4 linked regions of the Elephas maximus indicus genome follow. The protein of the gene in region 1 interacts with the protein of each later gene in a biochemical or structural test. Links are inferred from orthologs where the notes say so. Each region holds a gene or a part of one and is shown in the gene's direction. Other genes may lie near its edges. The genes, in order: RPS6KA1, MAGI3, HTRA1 and PDZRN3.

Region 1 (6,934 bases):
GAGCTCTCTGAGGACAAGGCTAGGGTCTACCTTAACATTTCTGCCTCCTGGTGTCCACCTCTGGCCTGGGACAGAGTAGGGGCCAGCAGTGTGAGTGATGTGCAGAGAGGGGCCAGGCTGGCCTTGCTGGGAGGGTGACAACGAAATTCTTAAGTGGGGGCTTTGGAAGCAGACAGACTTTGAATTTGCTCTTCGCACTATCCTTTTCTAGCGGTGTGAACTTGGGCAAGTCACTGTCTCTGAGTCTAGTGTCCTTATCTTTGAAATGGAGATGACAGATACCTCCCCGGGAGCTGAGACCCAGGATCTCAGCTCCAGTGCTAGGGCCTCGCAGAACCCACATCATCAAAGATTGCAGGAAAGAATGGCTGCATGCGAGAAGCGCTTAAGTGATAGAAAGTACAGTTCCCCTCGTTACTATAAGCCAGTCCTGGCCTAGGGCCTGAGGCCACCTCCCCACTCAAGGAGGCCTGGGACTAGGGACTCCTCCTCACCTGCCCAGAAGTATGCTGGGAGATGTATCTGGGGACATCTGTCCCACCAGAGGGGCCCATGTCTAGGAGGCCATGTAGATGCTGCCAGCTAGGGAAGGGGCTGTTGGTGTCCATTAGAGCCAGGGGCAGGCAGGTGGGCTTGAGCTGCAGCTGGTGGAGGGAGGCCCAGGGTGGGGGCCTTGGTGGCCAGGGATCAGGCTAGGGGGCTCTGGGCTTCTCTCCCAGCTGCTGTGTGGGAGGAAGTAAATAAAGAGGAAGTGTCTATGAGGGGAGAAAGGGTCCGGGACCAAGGGGATGTGGGCTGGTGCCTGTCCTCCCCCTCCCATCACCAGAGGCCGCACAGCCCCTCCAAACATCCTTCTGTGAAGGCAGTTCTGAAACTGTTTCCTTCCTGTTGCCCGTTCCTGTAGTGTGCTGGCCATAGAAGTTCTTCCTCTGCTTCTAGGGGGCGGGCTGGGGGAGAGGCCAAGCTGGCACTGGCCCCTCCTCTGTTGCTGGACCGACCAGACGTTCTAAGGCTCTCAGGGCTGCCCTGGCCCCCAAGTCCTGGCCTGAGGACTCTGGGTGGCAATGAGAGGCCTCAGTTAAGGGGAACATCTTTCACAACCCCCGCCAGGACGCCACCTGTCAGAGAATGTTGTTATTGGAGGCCCTGCGAGAGCCGGGAAGGGGAAGTCTGTGTGTACGTGGGGGTGTGGATTTCCACATAGGGGATGTCTGTGGAAATGGTTTCCAGCCGTCAGCCTGAGTGTGTGTCTGTGCGCGCTCGTGTCAGTTCCTGTGGGTGTACTGGTATGAGTGAGGAGGTGGAGCCACGTGGTAAGGGCAGGGCCTGGTCCACCCCTATCCCACAGCCACCTGTTCCTCCACCTAGACCTCTGTGTTGAGTTGTCCAGTGGGCAGCCAGGGTCCTTGTCTAGGGGCTTCTGCCCCATTGTCCATCCCAGGGTCTTAGACTGGCAGGCTTCTTCAGGAAGGGCTTGGAGAATGGGGCCTCTGAGCAGGGGCAGGGCTGAGTATGGTGCTTGCTCTGTGGGCTGATGTTTCGGGTGAGCCTAGCCATGAAGGTTGCTATGGGGGAGGGAGTGTCCTCGGGAGTTGGACCAACTAAGTGCTGAGCTATGTAGTTCAAGGCTGTGGCCTTGCTGATTTCTGTTCCCATTCTCTCAGACCCCTCTTGGGGGTGCTGGGATGTCTACTGTGTCCCGGCGTTATCTCTATGTGACTTCTGTGATCCTGTCTCCCCCTTCGGGGAGACAAGTGAGGTGCATCCCCGAGTCATCCTTGGGGCTTCGGGTTTAGGGTCTGCACTATCCCCACCTTGGCAGGGAGCCTGACCCGTCTTCTGTCCCTCCTCCCAGCAGAGGGGGAAGTGAGAAGGAGGGAGGCCATGGACCCTGCCTTCTGGGCTGGTAAGGCTAAAAAAGCAGAAGTAAGGGGAGTAACGGGGCCCTCTGGCCACCAGCTTGAGCCCCACCATGCAGACCCCGGCAGACTTCCCCAGGTTTGAGGGAGACTCAGTTCCCTGTCCCAGAAAGGTGAGCAGAGAGGTGGCCTGCCTCCAACAGTGTCTGTCACGACAACTCTGGGCGAGGACTGGGTTTGGGGGTGGCTATGTCCCCTGGGGTTTCTGGGTGGCTGCCTCTGCCCCCAGAGAGTGTTCTCAGTCAGAGGCAGACAGATGAGGTGGAAGCTCAGATCTTAGAGTGGGGTTAGCAGGCATTGCTGTTTTCTTGGCCCACCCCCGCCTCTCTCTGAGCCAGGCTTTCTGCCTGTCCCTCCAGGGGTTTATACTCAGGGGCCCGATTAGCCTGCAGCTTTCAGTGGCTGCTACACCCACTCCCCCATCTGTCAGGGAGAGTCCTCTGAAGATGGGGCTGTGTCTCTGAGGGTCAGGACCTAGAGTGGGAAGTCCCCAGGCTGATCCTAATGGTGAGGGTGGGGGCAGGCTGGGGTGGGCAGGAAGTGGCTCTGGCTGACTTACCTGCCCACCCTTTCCTGGCACTAAAGGCCAGGCAGAAACCAGGGGAGGGACTTGGGTTCAAGCCGACTCTGCCGCTTGGCTCGTTTTGAGTCTGGGTGAGTCACTGTCCTTCTCTGGGCCTCAGTTTCTTGTTCTCAAAATGGAGATAATGGTTTTTGGGATATTTTGGGTCAGAGTCAAAGTCATCAGATGACATCAGGAGATGGTCTCTCAGCCCACTGTCTTAGTCCTGGGCCTCCTCAGGCTCTGGCGTAGGAAGAAAATCTGAGGGAAACGGAAAACCTCATTGTTGGGTCTGCCATGAATACTGGGCTACTCTCCTGAGTCGTGGGGGTTTGCTGTTATATCTCCTTACCCTTCCTCCTCCCTAGACAAACCAACGAGAACCCAGAATTCTACCCTCCAGCCCCTCAGAAAGGTCTGACCCCCTTTCCTAGGGATCCCTGCCTTGCTGCCTGTCTGTTCGCTGTCACATTCATCTGCTCTGGGCGCCTGACAGTCTACTTGGGCCTAACTGACTCTGACTGTCTCTGTCTGCTACCTGTCTGCCTCAACTATTGAGTTCCTGTGTCTGTCTTTACCTATCAGATACATGTTCCCATTTGTCTCTTCCTGTTGGGCTCGTGTCACCTTCTGTCTCTGCCTGTTGGATACAGGAACTCCTCTTTCTCAGCCTCTTGGGTATGTGTCCCAGCTGTCTTTGCCTGTTGGGTACGTGTCTACATCTGTCTTGCCTGTTAGATACAAGTTCCCATCGGCCTCTGCCTCTTGGGTGAAAGTCCCTGTCTGTCTCCATCTGTTGGGTACAAGTCCCCATCTGCCCCTCTGCCTGTTGGGTGTGTGTCGCTATCCATTTCCCAGTTGGGTACGAGTCCTCATCTGCCTCTGCCTGTTGGTTATGAGTCCCCATCCAGCTCCACTTCTTGGGTTCATGTTCCTGTCTGTCTCCACCTGTGGGATATGTGTCCCCATCTGCCTCTGTCTATTGGATATTTCCCCATCTGCCTCTGCATGTGCCCCTTTCTGTCTGTGCCTTTTGGGTACGTGTCCCTGTCTGTGTCCACCTGTTGGGTATGTGTTTCCTCCTGCCTCCTCCTGCTGAGTATGAGTCTCCTTCTGTCTCTGCCTGTTGAGTACATGTCCTAGTCCATCTCTGCCTGTTGAATGCCTGTCTTTATCTCTCTCCACCTCTTGGGTGCGTGCCCCTGTCTCTTGGGTATCTCCCTTTATCTGCCTCCACGTGCCTCTGCTGTAGAGTTCCTGTCTCTGTCTCTCCTGATGAGTGCATATCTTCACCTCTGCCTGATGGGTGCCTATCTACTCCTCAGCAGATGGGTTGGCCTGGGCCTTTCGCTTTACAGGCCCAACAGGGAGGGTGGGAGGAGGGCCAGAGGGCAGCCCTCAAGCATTGGGGAGGGGAGAAGAGAGAGAGGAAGGGAACAGGGTGAGGGTATAGGCCTGGAGCTGGGAAACCACAGGCCCTGAATGATTGGCGGTCCTGGGCCAGGCCCAGCCCCCGCCCTCACCCTGCACATCCGCCTTGAGCCTGGCCACCTCCGCGGCAGCCCCGACTCTGCCTGCTCCTGCCATGGTGCCACGGCCCTGCCGGGCGAATGGAGCAGGATCCCAAGTCGCCCCGTCTGCGGCTTTGGGCCCTGCTCCCCTGGCTGCCCAGGAAGCAGCGGCCCAGGATCAGCCAGACCTCGCTGCCTGCCTCAGGCCCTGGCTCTGGCCCCCGGCGGGACTCGGTGAGTATGTCCAGATGTCTGGCCCTGCCCAGCTATGGCCCTGGGAGCAGGTGCCTAGGCAGCCAGTTTGGCCTAAGCTGGCTTTGGACTGTCCTAGCCCAGGCCTGGCTGTGTTGGATGGCTGAACCCTGCCCAGAGTTGCTTCCTGGGAAAGTGAAGAGGCGCTTCAGGGCTCTAGGGCAATGGTAGTAGGTTGGAGGAAGGGAAGAGGGGTCCTAGAATAGCCAGGACCTGGCAAGGGGCTTCTCATAGGCTTGTATGAGGGAAGTTTGGGAGGGAGGGCATTGAGTCTGGCGTTAACTCCCAACCGCCCCATGTTGGCACTTACTGGGTTGGTGGTAGAGTCCCAGATGACGCTTAGGTCTCTGTGTACTTCAGCCCTGTCCTACCTGCCAGAGGGATCCCCCCGTTTCCCATCCTGATCAGGAACAAAGGCTCAACTCCACCTCCCCACTATGAGAACAAACCCTACTTCCTATTGTGGTAAAACCAAAAACCTTTGCAGCAGGGGGAGGGGAGCCCCACAGGGAGGGCCTGGGGCAGGCCTACTACGGGCCTCAGCCAGAGCCTGGGGTTGGGGGATTCCCTCCTGCCCATGCCTGGGCATCCCAGGCCAGAGCAGCAAGAAAACAGGAACACCTTGGTGGTTTGACCCTCTCTGACCTTTGAGGCCCTTTTTGGTTCGGTGAACTGGAGGCTGACTGTATTAGGGTGGCTGTCTGGTCAGGCCTGTGCGGCCCTGTCTGGTGAAATCTGCTGGGAATGGACTTGGATTTGGGGGACGGTGCCTCCATGCTCACCGACTCTGTCTCCCCACCAGGATGAGGGCATCCTCAAGGAGATCTCCATCACACACCATGTCAAGGCTGGCTCTGAGAAGGCTGACCCATCCCATTTCGAGCTCCTCAAGGTTCTGGGCCAGGGATCCTTTGGCAAAGTAAGTTCTGAGCCCACAGCTGGGAGGGCAGCACTGGCCATGTCAGAGGTGGGAGGTGAGGGGTCACCTCAGAGCCCAGAGTGAGAAGAGTAACTTCTGGGGTCACTGGGGTGAGGGGTCACCTTTGTGCTCAAGGGATCAGGGGCAAGGGTTGATGGGCTTTTCTCCCACTGCCTTCCCAGGTCTTCCTGGTAAGGAAGGTCACCCGACCTGATAGCGGACATCTATATGCTATGAAGGTACTGAAGAAGGCAACACTGAAAGGTGAGTGGGGAGCACCTCCCCATGCGAGCCCAGGCTGGGCACAGGGTTGATGGAGACAGCCTAGTCCTCAGGGCCTTTGGTCTGATGGGAGAGGTAGCCCTATTCTCAGGAGCACCTAGTCTGAGGGAGGAGAAACCGGCCTACTCTCAGCTGCCTGCCATCCCACCCCACCTGATGGGGAAGACAGGGTCCACTTAGAAGAAAAGACTTCAAGCCGTTAACCCTCCACCTGATCCCCACCATCACTAATGAAGCCACATGCCAATGGCTAAGGCTGAAGGTGGTTGTCTAGAAGAAGGTAGTGGGGCAAATGCAATGTGTTTGTGGTGTGGTGGGGGCCCTCTAATATGGTTAGGCAGAGGTGTTCTAACTGTCAGTAAAATTTGGGGAGACCTCTCTGGACTCATTGGAGGAGAAGGGCATGAGAGAAGAGGCAGGAACCCAGGGAGCCAGGTGGGCCAAGAGAAGGTGAGGTTGAGGCAGGGCCATGGAGATGGATGGCACAGGGGTTCAGAGGGAGCATGAGCCAAAGTCTAGCATTTTGAGGACTTACAAGGGGTGTGCGGGTGGTTGGTGGAGGGCTTTGGGCTGGACATTGACTCTTTGATTGGTTCGGGAACCAGTGTGGCTGCTGACCAAGTGAAGTGGGGGCAATAGGAGGCCTTAGAGATGTTATGGATCATGTGGCCCATGAAGGGCTGTCTGGAGTGTTGGTAGCTTTGGTGCCTCTGGGCCAACCTGAGGTAGGGATGGGAGTCATTCCCCAGGAGGGATGGTGGGAGCCACAGGGAAGGAGAAAGATGAAGACATTTGGTCCCTGCCCGGGAAGGCCTCCTAGGCTGGGCAGGAGAAGCTAAAAGACCGTCAGACTGGAGAGATGGGCAGGGGGCCAAGGGCCCATCCCTGGACCTTGCATAAGGGGCAGGGACAGGAAGCAAACCAAGGAGCCAGACACAGAATAAGAGCAAAGGAAGAAACCTGAAGATTGAGTGTGCCCACAAGCCCTGGGGAGGAAGCTCCGGGAGCTCAGACCTGGAAGAACAAGTAGAAAAGAGGGTCCTTCTTAGCCAGGGTTTGGAGAGTGGCTGGCTATGTGGGTGGCTGGACTACTGGGAGGGCTCTAGCGTGACGGCCTTTCTCCTCTGGCCAGTCCGTGACCGGGTCCGGACCAAGATGGAGAGAGACATCCTGGCTGACGTCAACCACCCATTTGTGGTGAAGCTGCACTACGGTGAGACCACAGACCTACCTGCCCTGCTCACCAGCCTTCACCCTTGCCTCTGGGGTGCTGCCTTCCCTGTACCTTATGGCACCTCCCACCAAGCAGGCCAAGAGAGCGGGAGGAGGCAGGGGAGTAGGTTCCAGAGCCTAGCTGGCTCTACCATTGCATCTTCCCCTCTCCCCAGCCTTCCAGACCGAGGGCAAGCTCTATCTCATTCTGGACTTCCTGCGTGGCGGAGACCTCTTCACACGGCTCTCTAAGGAGGTGAGCCAGCACCCCCCTACC
Region 2 (7,605 bases), about 100 Mb from region 1:
CATTAGAACAAACTAAAATAATAATTTACTGAGTGTTCGCTGTGTATCGGGCCCTATGTTACATAAGTGCTTGACCCAAATAACTTCATTCAATTCTCACAACAATCCAGTTAGGTAAGTGCTATTATCATATCCATTTTGTGGATGAGGAAACTGAGGTTAGGTGAAGTTAAATAACTTGCCTAAGGTTACAGGGGTAGTAAATAGACTGAGATTTGCATTCTGACTCCAGAGCTCAAGCTCCTAATCACTGCAGTTTTCTGCCTTAGAGTCCATATAACTTTTAATTCTTGGTGAAGGCATGTGGGGCACTGTTGGGTGCCTACTTGTCTTAGTCATTTAGTGCTGCTATAACAGAAATACCACAAGTGGATGGCTTTAACAAAGAGAAGTCTATTTTCTCACAGACCAGTAGACTAGAAGTCCAAATTCGAGGTGCCAGCTTCAGGGGAAGACTTTCTCTGTCAGCTGTGGAGGAAGGTTCTTATCATCAGTCTTCCCTTGGTCTGGGAGCATCTTGGCGCAGGAACCTCAGGTCCAAAGGACAGGCTCTGCTCCCGGCGCTGCTTTCTTGGTGGTATGAGGTCCCCCTGCCTCTCTGCTTGTTTCTCTTTTTTATATCTCAAAAGAGATTGTCTTAAGACACTAACTAATCTTGTAGACCTCATCAATATAACTGCTGCTAATCCATCTTATTACATTATAGTGATGGGATTTATAACACACATGGAAATCACATCAGATGATAAAATGGCAGACAATCATACAAGGGAATCATGACACAATTCAATCCATGACACTACTCAACAACATTCCCCCTTTTTCCTCTCTAACAGAACCCCCATTTTTTGGGGGGTGACCCATGATCAATTTAATGAACTGTGGCAATCTCATTTCCTTTTGCCAGTGACGGTCTGCAGTGGGCATGTGATCATTTTCTGGCCAATAAGGAAGATTCTACTGGGGGGCAGTTCTGGGAAAGATTTCTATCCTTCATAAAAATGGGAGCAGTACTCACTTTCCCCCCTTCCTGCTTTGGACAATGACCTCGTAGAATGTGATGTGTAGAGCTGTGGCAGCCACGGTACAACTAAAAGGTGACAAGCCTGGTGAAGAAAGTCAACATACATAAGATGGCAGGGAGCAAACACAGAAAGAACTTAGGTCCTTGAGACAACCTATATCTGAGCTTCATGTTAAAGACATAATAAACGTCCTTCTGCTTTAAGCTACTGCTAGTTGGATATTTGGAAACCCTAGTGGCGTAGCCGTTAAGTGCTACGGCTGCTAACCAAAAGGTCAGCAGTTTGAATCCGCCAGATGCTCCTTGGAAACCTTATGGAGCAGTTCTACTCTGCCCTAAAGGGTTGCTATGAGTCGGAATCGACTCAACGGCAGGTTTGGTTTTTGGTTTAGTTGGATATTCTGTTCCTTGTAGCTAATGACATTCTAATGATAGAATCTAGGCAGTGGAAAGAAGTTTTCCAGAATTGCAGTGAAAATAGATTATGTGGAGGTTATTAAAATCTGGTGGTGCAGTGGTTAAGAGCTACGACTGCAAACCAAAAGGTAGGCAGTTGAAGTCCATCAGCCACTCCTTGGAAACCTTATGGGGCAGTTCTACTCTGTCCTGCAGGGTCGCTATGAGTCAGAATCGATTCAACGGCAACAGTTTTTTTGCATTCTTTTAAATCAAGATTTCAAGGAGCCCTGGTGCCTCCGTGGTTAAGAGTTCGGCTGCTAACCAAAAAGCCAGCTTGTTCAAACCCACCAGCCACTCTGTGGGAGAAAGATGTGACAATCTGCTTCCGTAAAGATTTACAGCCTTGAAAATCTTGTGGGGCAGTTCTATTCTGTCCTATGGGGTCTCTATGAGTTGGAATCAACTCAACGGAGCTTTTTTTTTCCCCCAGTAAACCAAAAAGAAAGTTTTATTCGGCATATATCCAAAAAGGCAAAAGTGGGAAATTGGACAAGCATGTTGCTAGAGCCATGCGTGCCTGAGTCCACGGAAATATTACAGAATAGGCAAGAATGAGAAAACAGACAAGAATGCTGCTAGAGCCATGTCTGCCCAAGTCCGAGGAACATTACAGAAGGAAATGGATTTTTTAAAATCAAGATTTCATCCAGGAATCTGCTAGTGTAGGTGGTAGCTGGGTGGGGGGGGGGAGGGGGGGGACAGAACCCAACCACAATTTAAAAAAATTCCAACTATGTCTCAGATTAGGATAATCTGAACAATCCACATTGTATCTGTGCTGGATATTTCCTCTTTGTCCCGCCAGATGCAGTGTATCCTTTGTGAAACTGACTGAGGGGGACTATGTAAAGGGCTCCCTTGCCCTCTGGCTTCTGGTTGGATTTGGCCATTGGGATGCACCAGCAGGAGGAGATTGAAGGAGAGAGGTGAGTGAGATATAAACCTCCCAGCTTCCTCCATAAGTGATTACTTAGGCTGACTGCATCCCTTGACTGAAAGTCATGGACTCATGCCAAGGAGCCCTCTCTGTATCTGAGTTTTGGTAACTGTTTCTTCCTCTTGCCTCTATAGGTCTCCGAGCTTGTAGCCTCAGCGTTCCATGCTTCTCTTGTGGTTTCCCACACCCTGCCCACATCTTTGTAAAGTGCCATTTGTTTCCTGCCAGGACCCTGACTGATAAGATGGTGTGAATGAAATCACTGCAGCTGCTGAAGCTTGGTCCAGTCTATCTGAGATTTGATGAGGTTCTGTGTAGTTATTCATAGTTAAAAATGGGGTTTTCCCTACTGTTAAAAGGTGGTAGGAGTCTACCTAAATAAGTGCCATCCTGCAATGTGAAATAAAGTATCATAGCTCAAAGAAAACGCTTTTCACATGAGGATCAAATCAGAGACGGCTATGTGGAAGAGATAGCATTTGCAGTGAGGATGGAAAGGATTTTTAAATGAGATGGGATAAAGGGCATTCCAAACAGAGCCCAAAGACTGAGTCAAGCCAAGATGGAGAAAAAGGTCAAGGGGAGTTTCTCAAAAATTAGTGCTGGGAGGGACCTAAGATATTCATTATTCAATATTAGCTCTCCCTTCAGCTCCTTTACAGATGTGTAAACTTGAAGCTGAAATTTGGTCAAGGTCAAACAGCAAGCAAGGAGCATGCCATGACTCCAGCCAGGTAAGTGGGCTACCAGGCTAGCTTCTAATCCATCCTTCGCCCCCACCTCACTCCAGGCAGTCGGCTTACTTATCAGTCTCTCCCACTATATTGTTATGTCTTTGAGGGCAGATCCTCTGTTTTAGGTATTCTGGTACCCCAGTATCTAGCACAATTTCTATCTGACACAAAGTCACAGCCATTGCCGTCATCATTCTCTTATCAGCTACCAAATGTTAAGAAGCATTTAACCGCTGCCAGCCACCACGCTGATATTTTATATGTATCACATTTAATCTCCGCAGCAACTTGAAGGGGCAGGTATAATTATCTCCATTTTTTAGTCAAGAATGCTGCGGCTCAGAGAGGTTGCCTAATTTGCCCGAGGTCACACAGCAGTTAGGTGCAGGGCTCTATTTTACTTTCCATCAACCAGACTTCGGAGCCCAGGTCTCAATACCCAGTACCCCGTGCCATCGATGGCACACAAATAACATTTGTTGAATGAACAACAATCACGTAGGTAACCACCCTGGAGGTGCCACCACCTGGGAGCACGGACTCCGCACGTCGCCTCCTACCAGAATACAACGGGTTTCTCTCAGCGCCCGGCGCAGGCTCGAGGCTCCGCCCTCAAGCAGCCTGGCTCGCCAGCCACGCCCCTACCTCGGGGAGTTCGGTCGCTCCTCACATCCGAGTTTCCCCTTGGCTCTAGCGACCGTGCGGAGGGCCTCTCCCGGCCCTGCGACCTGGAGTCCACTCCAGTCCCCCGCCCACCCTCGCTCTCCAAACTTCTTTTTTCCACCCTCTCTAAACTTCAGTCATTCTAGTACCCGCCTCCTCCACTCCCATCGACCAATCGGTGGTCCTCGTTCTCCGTGAGGGCCCGCCCCCTGTGCACCGGGGGCCAATCCCCGACGTGAAAGTCGAGTGCTGGGGCTCGTTCCCAAGCGCTCGGCCTGTGACGGCAGCGCGCCGGGCGCCGCGCGGCGGGAGGGGGCGGGGTTCTGGATGAGGGCTGGGCGAGGGCGGGGGGAAGGGGAGAGGGCGGAGGAGGAGGTTGCGGCGGGTTTGAAAGCGGCAGTTTCCTGGCAGCCTGGGCAGGCGTTGGTCTCCGCTCTCCAGCGCCGCAGCGATCGAGACCGATCCAGCGACGGCTCCACGCGCGCTTCTGCGCGTCCCCGACGGATTTTTCACGTCCCAGCTCTTCCTCCTTCACCTCCCCGCCCCCTTGCCTCAGCCTTTCCCGCCGCTCGGGCGCGGAGCCCGGGGGCCAGCCGTCGGCAGTGACCCCGCCCGAAACCCCTTCTGGAGCCGCCCGGGGACAATTCCCTTCTCCTTTCTTCACCCTAATCCGGGGTGGCCCTCGCCGAGCCCGGTCAGCCCGGGGGAGCGCAGCCGGGAGAGGCGTCGGAGGGGCGCCTCGGGGCTTGGAGCGTCCCGGCCCCCAGCGGGCTGCGGTCGGGGGGCCGGGCGGCGAGGCCCCCCTCGCCGGGCTGCGCGGGCCGCCTGGGGTCCCCAGGCTGACAAGGGGCCGGAGCGGCGCCCCGGCCGCCCGCGCGGGGTCTCCCCCATGGTGCAGCGGGGTTCGGGATGTCGAAGACCCTGAAGAAGAAGAAGCACTGGCTCAGTAAGGTGCAGGAGTGCGCGGTGTCCTGGGCCGGGTCCCCGGGCGACCTGGGCGCAGAGATCCGGGGCGGCGCGGAGCGCGGCGAGTTCCCCTACCTGGGGCGGCTCCGGGAGGAGCCGGGCGGGGGCACCTGCTTCGTCGTCTCCGGCAAGGCGCCCAGCCCCGGGGATGTGCTGCTGGAGGTGAACGGGACGCCTGTCAGCGGGCTCACCAACCGGGATACCCTGGCTGTCATCCGCCACTTCCGCGAGCCTATCCGTCTCAAGACTGTGAAGCCAGGTACACCGGCCCTGCCTTCTGACGCGGGGGGCAGGGGGCCAGGGTGGGGGTCCTGGGAGCGGCGGCACCTCCCCCAGTTTTATCGTCCCGGGTAATCTTAGACCTCTAGGGTGTGCCTGACTCCTTGGAGGGGGAGGGGTGGCGGCGGTGATTCCCCTTTTGCCAGTAGGGAAACTGAGCTCTGACTTGGCAGGGCTGCTCTGTAAGCTGTCACAGAATTGTGACCAGAATCTAGGTTTCCTAAATTTGTAGCTCTGTCTCCCACCGCAGAGTTTTTGACTAGAAAAAGCTAGCTCTTTTCTGCTCTCCTTTGTGGAAAAGGTCCTCACGATTGTACCATTTTCTTTGGAACAGTCTTACGCATCTTCTAACGGGGGAGAAGCTTCTTACTATTAAGGCACTTGGTGCCAGGGTTAACCATCTAGTGTACCTAGGAGGGCTTAGCCGCTCCGGTGTTTCTTACACACTAGCAACATCTCAGAACTGACAGCCTAACTCTACCAGTTCAGGTGGCTCAGGTGACTGCGTACCGATCTGTGATGTGTGGCGGAGTGGTGTGTTCCTGCTTGGAGCTGTTGAATAGAATCTGGGTTTTGAACAAGACCATGGTGCCTAGCTGAGTAGAAGCTTTTGTAAATCTCTTGATTTTGCAGAATATTGTTGAAGGGATGGGTAAAAAAGAACCCATGTTTCCCTGGTGTCTTTTATGCTAGTAAAATCTGCTGCAAAGAACATTACGTTCATGGCATACTTGACGGTTTCAGAGCGTTGATCAGGCTGCACACAGTGAAATCTGTTAGTATGTAGTAGTCCTCGCATATTTTGTTATCCACAACATTGTTGGTTGTTTCAGCATTAGTATAATGTGTTTCTGTCATCTAAGATGTTTGTAGAAGGGAATTATGATTACAGGGTTATTAAAAATCACACTATTTTTGCTGAATGTGCTCTACTTAATATACCGTGCATTGAAATACAATGGGCTGCTGAATTTTGACTTGTATTAGAAATCAGGCCATCCTTTCACCGTAAAACGCTAGGAAAACCTAGGGAAGAATTTAGTATGTTATCTTTTTTTGTTTTGGTTGGTTGTTTTGTTTCGTTTTTTTCTTTTTCAGCAGCTCTCTTTGGACATATCTCTTTAATAGTCCCTGAGCTTAATCAGAACTGATGGCTTATGGTGCAATGTACGTGTGCGTGTATTGTGGATATACTTACACATACACTCACATGGTCCTACAATCTTAAGATTTTCATACTGTAGTCTACTCTATCATATTCATTTTAAGTTCATAGGTTTATGTTTTTAAAATGTTACTAAGTTTTTAAACTTTGGCAAATTTTAAACATCCTTTTTTGTATAGTTTTGTGAATTCCAAAATTCTTTCTTAACTCAGACTTATATAGAACCTTATGTAAAAGGTCATGAAAAGACTTCGGGGCTATAATTCAGCCAGTGAGACACTGTGTGTAATATGCAAAGTGGTATCTACATAGCATTGACTAGCCTAGGTGCCATTTAGTTCAGATCCCACGAGTGAAGGAATAATGAGAACATCTGCATCATTGCCTTGTGTTTTGTTTTGATTAGTTGGGGCATGGATGAGGTTATAGCTGTTCTTTTCAGAAATAGGCTTAACGTTGATACGTTGATGAGGAAGCTGATGCATTTTCAAATTATTATGATTCTTTTAGAAAACTGGGAAGATGTATTGTTAACATCAGCCTGGTCTGCATGTTATACATTTTCTCAACCTCTATATCAAATTCAGGAAAATGATTAAAGGTTTAGAGTGTGCTCAGTAATACTGTGCTGAATAAATATTTTATTCTCAGAATGTAGTTGAAATTTTTATAGTAGAAAAAATTTGCTTTTTTAACAACCAAAGACACTGTCCTATTTTAAAAGTTTAGTCAAAATAAAAGTAATAATTTGTATTAATGGGTATAGCACATTTTGTAATTATTAATAATAAATATACTTATTTTAATAATATATTTTTTAAAAATACATTCCACTTCAGTAATTTCTAAAGGATACTACTACATCTGTGTCATCCAAAATTAATACTCGTGTTTCTAAACAAGTTGTAATTTTAAAATTTTAATTGCTTAAAAAAAATCATAGTCTTAATTTCTTAATAGTCTCATGTTAGGTATTTAAATGGATTTCTTAAATGGCTTTGCTTAAAAGCAACATTTATTATAAGATAGCAAGGTTTTTGCAGGTTAAACACAAGACTTTAAATATTAGAAATTAAGAATTTGAAGAGGTTTTTTGTAGAACTTTGTGAGTGATTAAAAACAGCGTAAGTATTATCTCCAGGGAAGACAAAGATTCTTTACTGTTGTGATTAATTTTCAAAAGGTTGAAAATACAGAGTAAAAGAATTTAAAAAGGAACTTGCCCTTCACATTGTTTTTTCCTTTTGTCTAAAATTTGTGAGATAAATGGATTTTTAAATTAGCAAGGTATTATAAAGTGTACTTAGCATTCTGTCCCTTGTCTTGACTAGTGACTGTTTATTAAACTATATTTGTAACATATCATTTAGAAACTAGC
Region 3 (7,591 bases), on another chromosome or scaffold:
CTTCTCTTTACTTCTTATCCTATTAGGCTACGTTAACTGCATCTTTGATTTAATTCAAAATGCTCCTTAACCTAAAATATAATAGTGTGTCTATTTAAAAATCCATGTTGCTGAGTCCATTTTTCTCAATCCATACTGCAGCAAGGCCATTCTGCCAAAAGGGATCTCCTTAAAAGCCAGAGGGAACTTTCCCAGCAGCAGCAGTGCAGAGTCTGAATATTTTAGGAGGCATCTATAGGGTTGCTATGAGTCAGAATCAAGTCGAGGGTGGTGGGTTAGAGCCCTAGCAATCTGGCCCAGGCTTCTTCCCCTCCAACTGTCTCTCCGGCCCTTAGGACCACTTTCCTGCTGAAGCCAAATGTATGGGCTCGCAGTACATACCCCAACTGTGTGCTTCCCCTGTTCCTGTACGTCTGATGAAATCCTCCCCTCCCTGGGGATGATGATCCTTGTCACCTCCTCTTAACTTCTCTAAGGAGCCCAGGTGATACAGTGGTTAAGCCCACCAGCTGCTCCATGGGAGAAAGATGTGGCAGTCTGCTCCTGTAGATTACAGCCTTGGAAGCCCTATGGGGCAGTTCTACTCTGTCCTGTAGGGTTGCTATGAGTCAGAATCCATTGGGCAGCAACAGGTACAGGGCTTAACTTCCCTGATTCCTCTCCCCCACTTTAGTCCCTTCTTTCGCCCCGCATGTGTTTTCTTATCCCTGGAGGACACCTGTCTAGAAGGGCAAGTTGAGTCTTTTGTACATTTTGGAGAACAATGGCAGCCCAGCTCCAAATGGGAGGTCTTTGCCCTACTGAGTTGCACAAACATGGCTGCTCTGTTCCAATTTAGAAGCCTCATTTCCTGAGTAAGGCTTTGGCAGTCACGGTGTTTCATTGTTCATCGTTCATGAATAGGCTTGACTGTGTTCAGAATTAAAGCTTAACCGCTACAAATTAGGGCCACTGAAAGGATGTCTGGGAATTGGCCTGTGTGGCTTCAGACCTGCCCCTTTTCTGGAAAAGTCTTCCTGAAGAATTCATGCCAAACCCTGGTCAGTGGAAAATTAGTTTTTATAATAAAAAAAAAAAAAAATTTAATAAGGAGCACTGGTGGCTCAATAGTTAAACACTGGGCTGCTGACTGAACGGTGGCTGGTTCGAATCCACCCAGTGGCTCCTCAGGGGAAAGACCTGGCAATCTGCTCCCTAAAGATGACAGCCATACAGAAAATCCTATGGGACCCTGTCCTATAGGGTCACCATGAGTCGAAATTGACTCGACGGCACACAACAACATCAAAAAAGTACGTCTTTTCAGAAACCGTCTTTATAAATGGCATCAGAGAGGGAGGGATCTAAACGAGAGGAAGAACAAAACTTTCAGATCAAAAGCATTGCTTCTGGATGCAGGGGCTTTAGAACTAAGGGAAAATCAAAAAGGGCCACGATTCCAGGTGTCTACGGGTTTGCTGTTTCCTCCCATATGTACACATGCATGTATACACGCGAGCACACACACAGCACCCTCTCACAGGGCGGTTCAGGGCTCCTATAATCCTTCCAGGAGGACGTTGATTTTTCTAATGCAGCTTCAAGGAGCTTGCTGGGAGCCCTCCACTGAGTGGCTTGTCGTCTTGGTGATCCGTGTTCTCAGCAGAGCAGATGGGTGAAGCCGCTCACAACTGTGAGATGGTCTGTGATGTGAGCATATTGAAGACCCGTCTTCCTATAACCTGGGAGGTGCAGTCTCCACTGTTCTCCTGGTGAAGGTCTGGAGGTTCTTTTTTTTAAATTGTATTTTAGATGAAGGTTTACAGAACAAACTAGTTTTTCATTAAACAGTTAGTACACATACTGTTTTATGACACTAGTTAACTACCCCACAACATGTCAACACTCTCCCTTCTCAACCTTGGGTTCCCTGTCACCAGCTTTCCTGTCCCCTCCTCCCTTCTAGTCCTTGCCCCTGGGCTGGTGTGCCCCTTCAGTCTTGTTTTGTTTTATGCGCCTGTCCAATCTTTGGCTGAAGGGTGAACCTCAGGAGTGACTTCATTACTGAGCTAAAGGGTGTCCGGGGGCCATGCTTTTGGGGTTTCTCCAACCTCTGTCAGGCCAGCACGTCTGGTCTTCCTTTTTCAGTTAGAATTTTGTTGTATATTTTTCTCCAGCTCTGTCCAGGACCCTGTATTGTCAACCCTGTCAGAGGAGTCAGTGGTTGTAGCTGGGCACCAGCTAGTTGTACTGGATTCAGTCTGGTGGAGGCTGTGGTAGATGTGGGGTCTGGAGGTTCCTAAACAATTTGTCCAGAGTCAAAGAGTTAGGGGCCAGAAGTGGGATTCGAACCCAAGCCCACCAGACAGCACAGCTCCTGCCTACTACACTAGGCCATCCTAGCCCTGGAGGGGAGAAAGTGTGTTCTAGGGACTAGTGTTCCCGCAGGCAGAGAATTTACACAGGAAGGTATGCTCCAGAAAATGCAAGTTGTTTCGTACGTACTGAGGGGGGCGAAGTGTGAAAGTGTGTGTGTGTGGGGTGGGGGTGATGGGGGATGGGGTAGACAATGGGGTCAGGGGGTGATGAGGACGGAGTGGGGACTCTCAGGGACTTGTTCTCTGACACGAAGGTGCTTGGAGGCCCATCCGGAGGCAACAGTGAGCTGTGGTCCCACGTGGGTCGGACTCTCGTCTGGCCGGGTGGCTGCAGAGCGGACGAGGCAGACTTGCAGACAGCTTTAGAAGGTGTTCTGGCTCCATCGCCCTTAATTTGTGATGTGTTGCTGGGGAGTCGCTTCTACTCTTGGGTCCTCAGTTTTCTCATCTGTAAAATGAGGGAATTAAAAGCAAGTTTTCGCCACTATCAAAAACTAACTGAACCAGTTGCCAAGTCTAGTCATTTCCCACTGAAGAATCCTGCGGCCCCGTGTGTTTCAGAGTAGAACTTCCACCCACAGGAATTTCAGGGGCTACGATCTTTCAGAAGTGGATTGCCAGGCCTTTCTTCTGAGGTGCTTCTGGGTGAATTTCGGTTACACCACCCAGGACCTCTGTGTTTCACTACAGGCCCCTTTTATTTCCTCTCCCCACTGGACTACACAGTTTGAGAAGCTTTTTGTTTGCAGATCTACTTTGTTAAGTAATTATCTTATCCCCTCCTTTTTTTAAGTTTTTTTTTTTTGTTAATCACAGCTACCTCCTCACTACACTCAGAACTTCTGATCAGCGGGAGGTGTCTGCTCTCTCAGGATGGGGCTGAGTGAATTTTGGGTCAAGGCCTCACTTCCCACAAGGATCAGGTCCCAGCTTTAGGAGGCACAGTCTGCGGAGCCAGCTAGGTACCCCATAGTCTTTCCCTTGCCCCAGGCCACGTGACCTGCTGTCTCTGCCCCATGGTCCCAGGCATCCCTCTGGATCCTGGAGGCTAACAAGGCTTACTTTCTGGAGTTGCTTTGAGGAGGGCTATAAATATTTGAGTTCTATCTTTTAAACTATTGGGAAAGTAATGCAGAAGGAAACAATCCAAAAACAGAGAAGTGGAAAATCCCTAAGGCGCCCCGGCCCCAGGATCGGCAGTCTGCCCACTGCCTTTGGGCGCCTCTGCAAGGCCCAGCACGCAGTGAACCCACCTCCCACCTGGCCTTGGGTAAAGGCTTTGCCCATCTCCTAGGGGCCGGCCAAGAGGAGACTGCCGGTCGTGGGCCCGATGCCACCTGGGCAGAAGGACCTGCCTCTGGACTGGCCCCTGCCCCTCTTGAGGACTGGCATCTGTTTCCAAAAAAAAAAAAATTTTTTTTTTTTAAAGGTTGCACCAAAGCCTGTAAGGGGAGCTCAAAGGCGATCTCTTACTTAATAGCAAAAAGATTTTGCGATAATACCAGCACGTGGTGAAAAACGGTAACAGGACAAAGCTCTTCTCCCCAGCAGCCCCTTGTGATCCCTCCCTACCCCCGTTACCACTAGCCTCCCAGGTCTCCATCGGGAGAGATTCTGGGCAGGTAAAAACACGCATCCCACCCAGAACAACTTTTTAAAGACTCCTCGGACACAAATGATAGTATTCTAAATGTTTCTCTTTGCTTTGTCACTTAACCTTGCATCTCGGTGCTGGCCTTTGCCAGCCCTGCGAGGGCCGTCTTTTTTGTTAAAGGGGCACGGGGTCCACGGCCACGGTTCCGCGTGCTGGGCACCAGGGTCACTTCCAGCGAGGCGCTTGCCCTCCTCCTCTGGAGCGCGTGACCCCAGGCCAGTGGTCCCCACCTCCACAATTTGCGGAACGTTACCTCGGCTTCCCCTTTGCAATCTGCTTTTTAGAGTTCTGGTCCGGAGTTGAAGCGTCAGTACCAAAGAAGGGAGACTATGTTGGGGGGAGGGGGAACACCTGGGAAACTGAGGCCGGAGGGGGGACGGATCCGCCCACCAACTGGCGGTGCTTGGGCGCGCCCGCCCTGCCCTCGCCGCGGGCGGCCCCGCTCCAGCCATCCGGCCGGCCCCCTCCCGGGCGCCGTGCCCATCCCCAAGGCGGCTCGTCACTGCTACGAGGCCAATAGGCTGGGCTGCCGGCAAAGCACCCTCGCGCCGCTCCCCCAGTCCCGGCCCGGCCCCCGGCACCGCCTCCTGCGTTCTCCCCGGCGCCGCTCCCGGCCCGGCCCAGCTACCGCCGCCGTCGGAGCCGCCATGCAGCCCCCACGCGCCACGCTGCTCCCGCCGCTGCTGCTGCTGCTGCTCGCCGTGTGCGCCCGGGCGCAGCTGCCCCGGTTTGGCCGCTCTGCACCCGTACCCGCGGGCCCGGCCACCGGCTGCCCCGCGCGCTGCGAGTCGGCGCGGTGCGCCCCGCCACCCGTGTACTGTGAGGCTGGCCGTGTCCGCGACGCGTGCGGCTGCTGCGAGGTGTGCGGCGCGGCCGAGGGCGAGGGGTGCGGCCCGCAGGAGGGTCCGTGCGGCGAGGGGCTGCAGTGCGTGGTGCCCTTCGGGGTACCCGTCTCGGCCACCGTGCGACGGCGCGCGCAGGCCGGCCTCTGCGTGTGCGCCAGCAGCGACCCGGTGTGCGGCAGCGACGGCAGCACTTATGCCAACCTGTGCCAGCTGCGTGCCGCCAGCCACCGCGCCGAGAGGCAGCGCCAGCCGCCGGTCATCGTCCTGCAGCGCGGCGCCTGCGGCCAAGGTACCGCTTCGCCGGGACAGGCGGGCCAGCTAAGGGGCGACGAGGGTTGGCGGGGGCTTTGAGCACCTACTTGCCGGGACAGACGCGCAGCGGCTCCCTTGTGGCAGCGGTGCGCGGGCTCCCTCGGACCGAGCTTTGTGCTCAGCCCTGGGCCGGTTCCGCGGCCCGGTGCCCGGCGCGCAGAAGGCACATAGCGCCGGGGACCCGGGACAAATAAGACGGAGGAATGTGGGCATGAAGGGAGGAGAGAAGTTCGCGACTGGGGACGGCGCCTGCAAAGACCAAGTCGGAGGCATTAGGACCACAAGGACGCGTTTCTGTTGCTCCGCTTCCGTATAACTCTGTCTCCCTAGCCCCTATATCCTTTAATGACCATGCTTTAATTTTATTATGGACCCTCTCGGTGAAAACTTTATTTACTACTACTTTTTTTTTTTTTTTTTTTTGAAAGAAACAGATTCCGTTACCCGAACCACGTCCCAGTCCTCCTAGATGTTGGGGACTGGTTTGGTAGCTGCCAGGCATCTCGGTTGCTGGCTGCCTGTCTTTCTTGGCTTGTTTAGACCCAACCCGACAGAAATGAAAGTGGCTCTTTTTGGATAAGCTGAACGGGGCTTTGGATCAGGAAATCTGCCGCGGCAGAGCAGGGAGCTGGGAGGAGAGAGGGGCAGTTCTTCTCTGTCCCGCTGCATCTACGGGACTCGGCTCGCGGGCGAGGTGCTGGGGATGGGGTGAGGAAGGTTCGTGGAGAAATCTTCCAATTCTTTCACGGCCTTCCGGAGAGATACTTCTTCTCTTCAGGCGGAGAGACCATGTGGAAAAACCAGAGTTCAGCTGCGGCCAGGCCAGCTGTGTCCACAGGCACCGGCCAGCCGTGCTTGGCCGTGCGCTTGGCGGCAACCAGGGGCTGTCGCCGGGCCCAGCACGGCCTCCCCAGCGCAGGCGCAGCGGGGCGGGGCGGGCGGGGAGGGGGAAGGGAAGCCCGGTGCCGAGGGGCTGGCCCAGAGTTTCTTTACCAGAATGTGGTCCAGCATGGCCAGCTAAGGCCCGCGGCATTTTCGCTCACAAGGAGAGCAAGGTGCCAGAGCCATCGGGGGAAAAATTGGAGATTGTGTATTCTGTCACAGCGCGGGAGCAAGGAACCAGCCTCAGCCTAGTTTAGGGGCGGAGGAGGGTTAACCTGGGGAGCAATGAAGGTGCTGTGTTAGGTTCCAGCGGCTCAAAGAAAGCCTGGTGGTGGGACTAACCCAGCAGGAGAAGACAGACCATCCTGGTAAGGAGAGTCTGCATTTCCTAGCACCGCTGTAACAAATACCACAAGTACCCGATACCTTGCCGTGGAGTCGACTCATACCACAAGCGGATGGCTTTGAAGAACAGAAATTCATTTTCTCACAGCTTAGGAGGGTAAACGTCCAAATTCAGAGTGTCGTTCTAGGGGGAGGTTCTCTGTCTATTTCAGCGGCTGGTAGCAATCCTTGGTTCCCCAGCATCTCCGCATCTCCACGTGTCACCTTTCTTTTCCTGTTTGTGCTTCCTTGTCTCTTTGTCTGTCCTGCTCACATCACTTAAATGTGATTAGGCTTAAGACACACCCTACCCTGACATGCCCTCATTAACACAGCAAAGAAAACCCTATTTCCCGATAGGATTATATCCACAGGTATAGGGGTTAGGATGCCAACGTATTTGGGGGGGACATAATTCACGGTGGGGAGTTAAGGCTGCTGCGATATGGGCACGAGGTGAAGGCTTTGAGAAAGCGTCCTGCGTATTTTGTCAAAACGAAAGCAGCTGTTCTGTGTATGCCCCCCACTGCACAGGGTTCCTGGCACCACGCGAGCCGCCTAATTTATTGCCAGTGAGGCAGTCACTTAAGGAGCTTAAGAGCTGGCAGAGTCTTTCATTTTTGGCTGGGGAGGGTCACTGGCCATCCCAGAAACCTCCAGAAGAGCTGTAAATAGGTTGATTAGGGCCTAAAATAGCTGCATTCGGTGAGGCATTATGGCGGGACCATGAGCTCACCGTGGTCATAGTGCTGGACACCTCGACACAGTGGACTGGATCTGGCATCTGTTTGGAGCTCCAGTCTCCTGGATGTGGTTCTGTGCCTTGGATTCAGAAATCAGACTTTCCATGAGCTTATGCTTCAAGTGAACAAATAGCTCTGGTCAGGCTTCATATTAAGAAGAAATCAAGCTTGGCAGCGGGTGAGGGTTTCTTGGGAGGCCAGCTGGGATGGAGACCTGGCTCTGGCCCTTCCTGGGGTGTTACCTGACCAGGTGACTGTGGCCTGTTCACCTCTGGGAGTCTCAGACCTGAGGGGATTTGACCAAAGGGTCTCTGAGGTCCCTTCTAGACGCAACAGTTTGATTCTTAAAAGAAAACACTGTCTGAAGAGGTCGTGGTCACCTTGCCCTTGTTTGAAAGGCTGGGTTTGCTTCTT
Region 4 (7,938 bases), on another chromosome or scaffold:
CAAGTAACCGCTCACATCTCACCTCCTCAGACTGCCGTGGTCTCCTCTCTTTTCTCTCCAGCGCATCAGTTTATGTCCTTTAGAACAGTGCTTCTCTATCTTTGTTGTTGTTGTTGTGTGTCTTTGGGTCGATTCCAACTCATAGCTGCCCCATAGGGTTTCCAAGGCTGTAGTCTTTCTGGGAGCAAGCTGCCCCATCTTTCTCCCACAGAGCGGCTGGTAGTTTGAACTGGTGGCCACCAGGGCTCCTTTCTCCAACTTCAGTTGCTTGCAAATCAGTTAGGGATCTTATTAAAATGCAGATTTTAACTCAGTAGGACCAGGGTGGGGCCTGAGATTTTGTATTTCCAACAAGCTCACAGGTGATGTCCACGTTTCTGGAACCTAGATCACACTCTCAGTAGTGCTGCTTTAGTATGCTTAATCCCATTCCATAAATATCTCAGTTACGTATTTGTTCATTGATATTTGCCTCCTCCTCCCCTATAAAGAGGGTTCCACAAGGGCAGAGACACTGACCAACTTGTTCACCTCTGCAGCACTGGCATTAGAGTAGACCTACTTAGCATGCAAACTAAAGAAGCCAAATCAGTTGCCGTCGAGTTGATTCCAGCTCATGGAGACGCCATGTGTGTCAGACTCGAACTGTGCTCCACAGAGCTTTCAATAGTTGATTTTTCAGAAGTAGACCATTTTTTTTTTTTAGACCACTAGGCCTTTCTTCCACTTAGCATTTAGTAGCTACTAAATAAATAATTATTGAATAAATTAAGATATGTCAAACATGATGAATGTTACCCAAGGGGATGTACAAGTGCTGTGGAGGTAATCCCTATGTGGATGACAGGGAAGGGGGTCTCACCAATGTGCAGCACCAGACTTTTGCACAAATGTGTAAGAAGCATTTTTCCAACTCACCCTGTTCTTCTACCCAATGCCCCCGACTGTGACAGGTCAGCCTGACTTACTCAACCAAGTCTTTTAAAGTCTCCAGGATCGAAAATTACATACCTCTCTTTGCCAGCTTCCACCCAAGGACAAACAAATCTCCCAGGCCCCCAGAATGACTTGGCATTAACTTTGTCAGGAGACAAACAATCTGATTGAAATATTTCACGCTTGTTTGCGAATGGCTCTCTGGCAGCAATTCCCGTTCGTAAAAGATGCTGATTAATCTAATTCAATGATACCATTTCAGCATCATTTATTTAGGCCTCGGGAAGCCACCAAAGAAACAAACAACCTTGACTTTTTTCCTTTTTCTAGTTCTGAACCCACAAATTATCAGGTCTCTAGGGCCAGTGGAGGACTGGTGCAGGGAAAAGTGAGATAAGTAAAGACGGAGATGTGGCGAGATGAACGGAATTGTTTGTAAGGTAGTGTCTCCCGAGGAAGGGGTTCTAGAGGAGGCAGCATAATGCCAACAGTGGTTATGAGTGCGGGTTCTGGAATCCACCTGTTTACATTCCCAGCTGCCATTTGGATAACTTACGTTCAACTTTTGTAAACCAGTTTCTTCATCTGTGAACAGAGGCTAACAACACATCTACCTGGTGTGCTGTGAGGATTAATAATGCCCATCAAGTGCTGAGCAGGTTGCTTGGCACCAAGTTGAGCTCAGTAGATGGTAGTTAATATTAGCATCTTCTGATTAAACATGCTGATGGGAAGGCCCGGAAGAACAGAGTTTAACACTAGAGGGTGATGGTGGGAAATACAAAAATCACATTTCTGTTGGGCTTGGGACCACATCTTGGCTAGAAATTGCAGAATCTGATGGGAAAATGGAGCAGTGGTGGAAGGCAGCAAGAGTAGTTTTCAAAGTGACCAATCCGCCTGTCGACAAGAATTCATCCCTATAGAAACACCCCCACCCCAGTGGAGGCTTGCATACTGCTATGATGCTGAACGGGTTTCAGCAGAGCTTCCAGGCTAAGATGGACTAGGAAGAAAGGCCTGGCAATCTACTTCCAAAAATCAGCCAGTGCAAACCCTGTGGATCATAATGGTCCTATCTACAACCAATAACGGGGATGGCACAGGACCAGGTGGTGTTTTGTGCATGGGGTTGCAATGAGTCCAGTCGGGGGCCAACCTGATGGCAGCGAACAACCACCACCACCCCCAGATGCTCTAGAGGTGACCAAGCTCCTAATCCATGTCAGGAGAAATCAGCTCCTTTTCTTGGAAGGTCTATCACACTAAACATCCCCCTTCCACAGTTTTTCTTCACATCCATTAGTGCCAGGTTGCTCTCACTATGCTGCGTTCACCTGGTCTTTCCCCAGCCAGCAGAGGACATGGGCCGCTAGGACTGCCTGACTTTGGCAATGAACAAAAAAAACTGTGGTTCTCAATACCGGAGTCAATTTTGCCCTTAAGGGACACTTGGCAATATCTGGAGATATTTTTGGCTGTTATGACAGGGTATGTGGGGTTGTGCTATTGGCATCTAGTGGGTAGAGAACAGGGATGCTGTTAAATACCCTCTAATGCACAGGACAGCCCCCATGATCCAGATGTCTGTAGTGCTGAGATTGAGAAACCCTGCCCTAAATTGTTCTCTCTCTTAGCCTTTCTGACCCTTAGTTGTACTGTCTGTAACATTCAAAGACTGGAAAATATGCATGGTTGATTCTGACTCATAGATACTGTATAGTACGGAGCAGAACTGCCCCATGGGGTTTCCAAGGAGCAGCTGGTGGATTTGTACTGCTGACTTTTTGGTTGGCAACCATAGCTCTTAACCACTGTGCCACCAGTGCTCCAGAATGTTATGTGTTCTGTTTATTATTTATTTTTTGCTGAGCTCCAGGGATTTCAATACTAAAATTAGCCAAAGAGGAGTGGTTTTAACAGACTTTCCTTTTGCCGAAAGAGGTCAACGCACAGCAGTAGGCTATAGCTCTCGGCAGCCTCAGCTGTAGCCCTTCATCAACAACCCCTCGTTCAGCCATCTGTGGGGCCACAAAGGGGTGGTGGGACCGCTCTCAAGAGTACACCAAAAGTAAGCACAAATTTCCCGTTTATGGTGTATGAGCTTTTGAGAGCTTTCGCTGTTTCTCAAAACCAGTTTGGTTTGAAGATTACCACCCTGTTGACACTGGCCCACCCTGTGAAACTGACAAGCCCACACACTTGTTGAAAGCATTTCTTTCTTACCCATTATCTGAGAGCCTGTGAGCAGCTTAATGAATACACTGATGGGAGATTCCTACCACATGCTTATCTGAACACTGGCCAGTGATACTCCACCCATGTGCTATCAAAGAAATGCATGAATTGATGAAAGATATTAAAAGAAAGTCTCTACTACAAATAGACAAACACCACCAAGGCCGATTAAAGACGGTCATCTAGTGAACTCAACAACATGCCAAAAAAATCCAGTCAATGACAACGTTTTAAAGGTCAGTTTGAAACAAATAATCATTATGGACATCAAGGCAATCCTTTCACTCCGATGAAGCAGTTAAATAGTGTCGGTCACAGAGTTTTAGCAGCCACATAAAGGAGAGAAGAAACAGCAGTTAGACAAAATGGAAGTTATAATCCCACTTTCCAGGCCCCCAGAGTCATGCTAAAACACTGGGCTGCAACTTTTCCACTTCAGTCTTCAGAAACTGCCAGTGGATTCCAAATGAGAATTCCATAGCTTCATTTCATTCTCACAGACTCTGACTGCACATTTCTTAGGAATGTCTAGAGCCTTTGGAGAAAGAAAAATCTCCAAATCCATGGACGATGCTAGGAATTTTCCACCTAGGTTTGAAACCCAAGAGTGTTCCTTTTACACTCAGGAGTATTGCTGAAAACTACCCAGTCAAGCTCACGGTACTGCCTGAAAAGCTACCCCAGCGTAGAAGAAAACAGGCCAGCATCACCTGGGAGCTTGTTACACGTGCAGGCTCTCAGGCTCCGCCCCAGACCTCCTGGATCAGAATCTGAAACGACATTCAAATTTGAGAAAACACTGCTCTACAGAATCCTAGACAAATTTTTGTCTCCTCCCGGCCTAAGCTTCCAAAGGTAAAATGGAAGCAGAACAAAGTATACACATAGGAAACAAAACAAAACTGAAGGAACGCAGGTAACCTGATGGTGGGGGATAATGCGGGGACTTGTGCAGTTAACTTTTTACCACTCAGCGTCATTTCTTTTGTAATCGCGGAAAAATAATTGGTAAATGGAGCTAACACTCTCTCACAGCATTGTATTGATGATTTTTCAAGGGGCCAATTTAAAAGCGCCCAGCACAGCCCGCGCCACACAGTGCGGACACTCGAGGTACTGGGAGAAGTGGACCGAGCCGGCACGTCCGCCTCTCCCATCCCTCAGCGGCCGGGCAGCTCACGCCTCCGCAGCATGGTCCTGGGCCCTGGAAACCTCCGCCCGCCTGTTCCAGAGCCCGCAGAACCTCTGATCGGAACTGGAGTTGCAGCAGGAACGTCCCGCAGGCTAGGTAACTTTCCCTGGTAATAAATAAATAACGGCCGTAAGTGCTAGGAGAGCGGGACCCGAATGTTTTCGCCCTTTGCAATCTGTCACAAAGAAAAAAGGGGGAAAGGGGGAGTAAACAGTCTTGATCAATCCCGGCACGGGCTCCAGGAGAACTCTTCTGAGCGAAAGCAGCAGCCACAGCTCCAACCTCAGTAAACTTTTCTCGGCTGGCATTTTATCTCCTATATCAAAAACTGCAGAAGGTCGGAGAAGAGCCCCGGTGAGCAGGGCTCAGGCTGAAGTTCTGGGCGGGCCAGTCGCCCTTGGCGAGGCTCCAGATCTCCCCACCCTCCTTTGCCTTCCGGCCTCCTCCCTTTTGCAGGGGCGGGAGGGAGACCGCCAAGACAGGATGAGTGTGCGCTCGCGCTAGCGCAAATACGGCCGGAGGAGTCCTGTTCCTCGGGCATTTTCCGAGGAAGTCTGGAGCAATTAGGCTCAGTCCGGGGAGAGCGAGCGAGCGAGCGAGCGGGCGGCGCAGCCGGCGTGTCTGGGCCGCCTCGCAGGGAGGGAGGGGGCGGCCGGCCGCCCGGCGGCGACCCCGGGCCCCGGCCGCCACCATGGGCTTCGAGCTGGACCGCTTCGACGGCGACGTGGACCCGGACCTGAAGTGCGCGCTGTGCCACAAGGTCCTGGAGGACCCCCTGACCACGCCGTGCGGCCACGTCTTCTGCGCCGGTTGCGTGTTGCCCTGGGTGGTGCAGGAGGGTAGCTGCCCTGCGCGCTGCCGCGGTCGCCTGTCGGCCAAGGAACTCAACCACGTCCTGCCGCTCAAGCGCCTCATCCTCAAGCTGGACATCAAGTGCGCGCACGCGGCGCGCGGCTGCGGCCGGGTGGTCAAGCTGCAGCAGCTGCCCGAGCACGCCGAGCGCTGCGACTTCGCGCCCGCACGCTGCCGCCACCCGGGCTGCGGCCAGGTGCTGCTGCGACGCGACGTGGAAGCGCACATGCGCGAGGCGTGCGACGCGCGGCCCGTGGGCCGCTGCCAGGAGGGCTGCGGGCTGCCCCTGACGCACGGCGAGCAGCGCGCAGGCGGCCACTGCTGCGCGCGGGCGCTGCGGGCGCACAACGGAGCGCTGCAGGCCCGCCTGGGCGCGCTGCACAAGGCGCTCAAGAAGGAGGCGCTCCGCGCAGGCAAGCGCGAGAAGTCGCTAGTGGCGCAGCTGGCCGCGGCGCAGCTCGAGTTGCAGATGACGGCGTTGCGCTACCAGAAGAAGTTCACCGAGTACAGTGCGCGCCTCGACTCGCTCAGCCGCTGCGTGGCCGCACCTCCCGGCGGCAAGGTAGGCGCTCGCCGCCCGCCCCGACCCCCTCCTAGGCACCCAGGGCCCCGCTCGGTCCTTTAGGGTACAAGGATGCCAGGAGCATCCCACGAGCATCCCTGCCTCCCTCGTCTTGCCAGCTTTATCACCAGGAGCAGGTCGCTGAACCTGTCTAAGCTTGGAACCATAGTCTTTGTAGACAAGACACACGGTGAAGTATAGCTGCATACCTTCAGGGTTTCTGGAAGAGTGAAAAAATCCACAACGAAGTTTAGAGTAAGAATCGAGTGCAGCTCCAGAGTCAGAACTGTATTCAAAGATTTTTCTGCTCAGACCAGTTGGTTGATCTTGGGGAAGTTGCTTAATCTCTGTTAAGGTTGGACACCATGGTCCCTGCAGACGTGACACACAGGGTAAACTGTATCCATGCACCCTCAGGGATTCTAGAAAGAGTAGGAACCCACAGCCATAGTGGTGTGAGCTAAGGATGACAGAAAAGAGGCCTCTGGAGTAAAAGCTGGATTCAGATGTGGGCTTTGCTGCCAACTAGCTGGGTGACCTTGAGCAAGCTGCTTAAATTAATCTCTCTAAAGTTGGAAACTGTGGTCTGTAGAGACGTGCGTGGGGCAGGGTACAGCACAGCCAGGCACCCTTTGGAGTATTCGTCCAGGGATTCCAGAAGGAATTAAAGGACCTGCCACCCAGTGTAAAGTAATCAAGAATGAGCCTACTAGCATTAGAACTGTTTTCAGAGCGTTCTGTTAACCAGCCGAGTGACTTTGGGACTTAATCACCAGGTGCTTCAGTCTCCCTAAAGGTAAAATAGGTTGTCAGAGTTCAAGGAGGGAAGGTTTGAAAAGGACCTGACCTGGCAGTGTGCCCAGTGGAGAGTAAATCCTCAGGTGCTGCCCTGCAGTCCTTTCTGACATCACCCTCTGGAGTCATCCCCTTGCCCTGGTAAAAAAAAAATGGTGATAATTAGAACAGCCACCGCTGGCCAGTGCTTACTTTGCTCCAGGCACTGTGCTAGGCACTTCCTAGTCGTTCCCTTTTTAATCAAGTAACATAGCGTGTGTCCACAGTCACAGAGCTTTTAGGTGCTAGTGCTGGGTTTTGAACTCACGTGTGCATGTCTCTCCAGCTCAAGCTTTTAACCACTATTGTTGCCTCCCAGTGTAACCACAAGTGCCATTTACTGAGTGTTTATTATGTGCCAGCAACTGCACTAAGCAGTTTACATGTATTATCTGTTTATTCCTTCAAGATGAGGAAACAGGCTCAGGAAGGTTATATAACTTGTCCACCTCAAGCAGTGCCTTGAAGCACGGCTAGGATTCAGGGTCTACCTCGGAGTGCCTAACCTTGGCACTATTGACATTTTGGGCTTATGTTGTGGGGGACTGTCTGGTGCATTGTAGGTGGTTCAGCAGTATCCCTGGTCTCTACCCACTAGATGCCAGTAGCAATCAATCCCCCCCACCCCCTGCCCATCGTGACAATCAGATATACCTCTAGACATTGCCGAGTGTCCTCTGGGGGGAAAAAAATCACCCCAGCTGAGAACCACTGGTTTCCCTGATTGCAGAGGCCACATTTTCAACAGTTGGGTGCTTCTGCCTCACTGGGGAGGGGCATGGGCCATGCTGCTGCCACTCTGGTTGCCCTGCCCCAGATGGCATGGCTGAGAAGGGTACATATTTGTCCAAGAGCCCCCAGGGCCTACATCTGCTTTGCTTCTCCCTGTCCCCTCCCATCCCCCCTCTCATGCGTGCACACCAGGCCTGCAAGTTTTCTGACTCTCTCCCTTCCTGGCCCCCAGCCTGTCTGTCAGCTGCAGCCCCAGCAGCTGGCCAGCTCTGGGCGAAGGGCAAATATTTACAGCTCCGCGGCTCACCCGGGACCGCACAGGCGCTCAAAAGACGGGTGTGAGTAGGCGAGTCACCAAAACTGAGGGCAAAGCTGGGGCTTCAAGAAGGCGCCAGGTTTGGGGTGAAGGAGTTCCCAAGTTCCCCCTGTTTATGCTGTCATCTGGACTTCCTGCGTAGTTTTAAGTAATGCTGATTTATAAATAAGCCATTCACTCCCCCAGAGTTTATACATCATTCATTGTTTTCAGCTGGTTTATTATTTTTTCTTGCCTTTCTGTTTTCATTCTGGAGTGTTTGGATAAGCTTTTTCA

What was found.
Region 2: the proteins of RPS6KA1 (region 1) and MAGI3 interact in a test that uses a peptide from one of them, tested with the Homo sapiens proteins (2 studies listed by BioGRID and IntAct). The link is inferred for Elephas maximus indicus from reciprocal best matches to the Homo sapiens genes RPS6KA1 and MAGI3.
Region 3: the proteins of RPS6KA1 (region 1) and HTRA1 interact in a test that uses a peptide from one of them, tested with the Homo sapiens proteins (2 studies listed by BioGRID and IntAct, with this or other methods). The link is inferred for Elephas maximus indicus from reciprocal best matches to the Homo sapiens genes RPS6KA1 and HTRA1.
Region 4: the proteins of RPS6KA1 (region 1) and PDZRN3 interact in a test that uses a peptide from one of them, tested with the Homo sapiens proteins (2 studies listed by BioGRID and IntAct, with this or other methods). The link is inferred for Elephas maximus indicus from reciprocal best matches to the Homo sapiens genes RPS6KA1 and PDZRN3.

What each region holds. Positions count from the first base shown.
Region 1 is NC_064821.1:67,007,243-67,014,176, forward strand, and holds the start of RPS6KA1 (ribosomal protein S6 kinase alpha-1), read left to right. Parts: upstream 1-3,927; 5' UTR 3,928-4,091; coding exon 4,092-4,226; intron 4,227-5,046; coding exon 5,047-5,163; intron 5,164-5,345; coding exon 5,346-5,427; intron 5,428-6,577; coding exon 6,578-6,658; intron 6,659-6,833; coding exon 6,834-6,913; intron 6,914-6,934. UniProt on the Homo sapiens protein: Serine/threonine-protein kinase that acts downstream of ERK (MAPK1/ERK2 and MAPK3/ERK1) signaling and mediates mitogenic and stress-induced activation of the transcription factors CREB1, ETV1/ER81 and NR4A1/NUR77, regulates translation through RPS6 and EIF4B phosphorylation, and mediates cellular proliferation, survival, and differentiation by modulating mTOR signaling and repressing pro-apoptotic function of BAD and DAPK1.
Region 2 is NC_064821.1:167,277,063-167,284,667, reverse strand, and holds the start of MAGI3 (membrane-associated guanylate kinase, WW and PDZ domain-containing protein 3), read left to right. Parts: upstream 1-4,593; 5' UTR 4,594-4,726; coding exon 4,727-5,042; intron 5,043-7,605.
Region 3 is NC_064834.1:72,799,192-72,806,782, forward strand, and holds the start of HTRA1 (serine protease HTRA1), read left to right. Parts: upstream 1-4,588; 5' UTR 4,589-4,658; coding exon 4,659-5,145; intron 5,146-7,591. UniProt on the Homo sapiens protein: Serine protease with a variety of targets, including extracellular matrix proteins such as fibronectin. HTRA1-generated fibronectin fragments further induce synovial cells to up-regulate MMP1 and MMP3 production.
Region 4 is NC_064838.1:21,232,633-21,240,570, reverse strand, and holds the start of PDZRN3 (E3 ubiquitin-protein ligase PDZRN3), read left to right. Parts: upstream 1-4,929; 5' UTR 4,930-5,057; coding exon 5,058-5,780; intron 5,781-7,938. UniProt on the Homo sapiens protein: E3 ubiquitin-protein ligase. Plays an important role in regulating the surface level of MUSK on myotubes. Mediates the ubiquitination of MUSK, promoting its endocytosis and lysosomal degradation. Might contribute to terminal myogenic differentiation.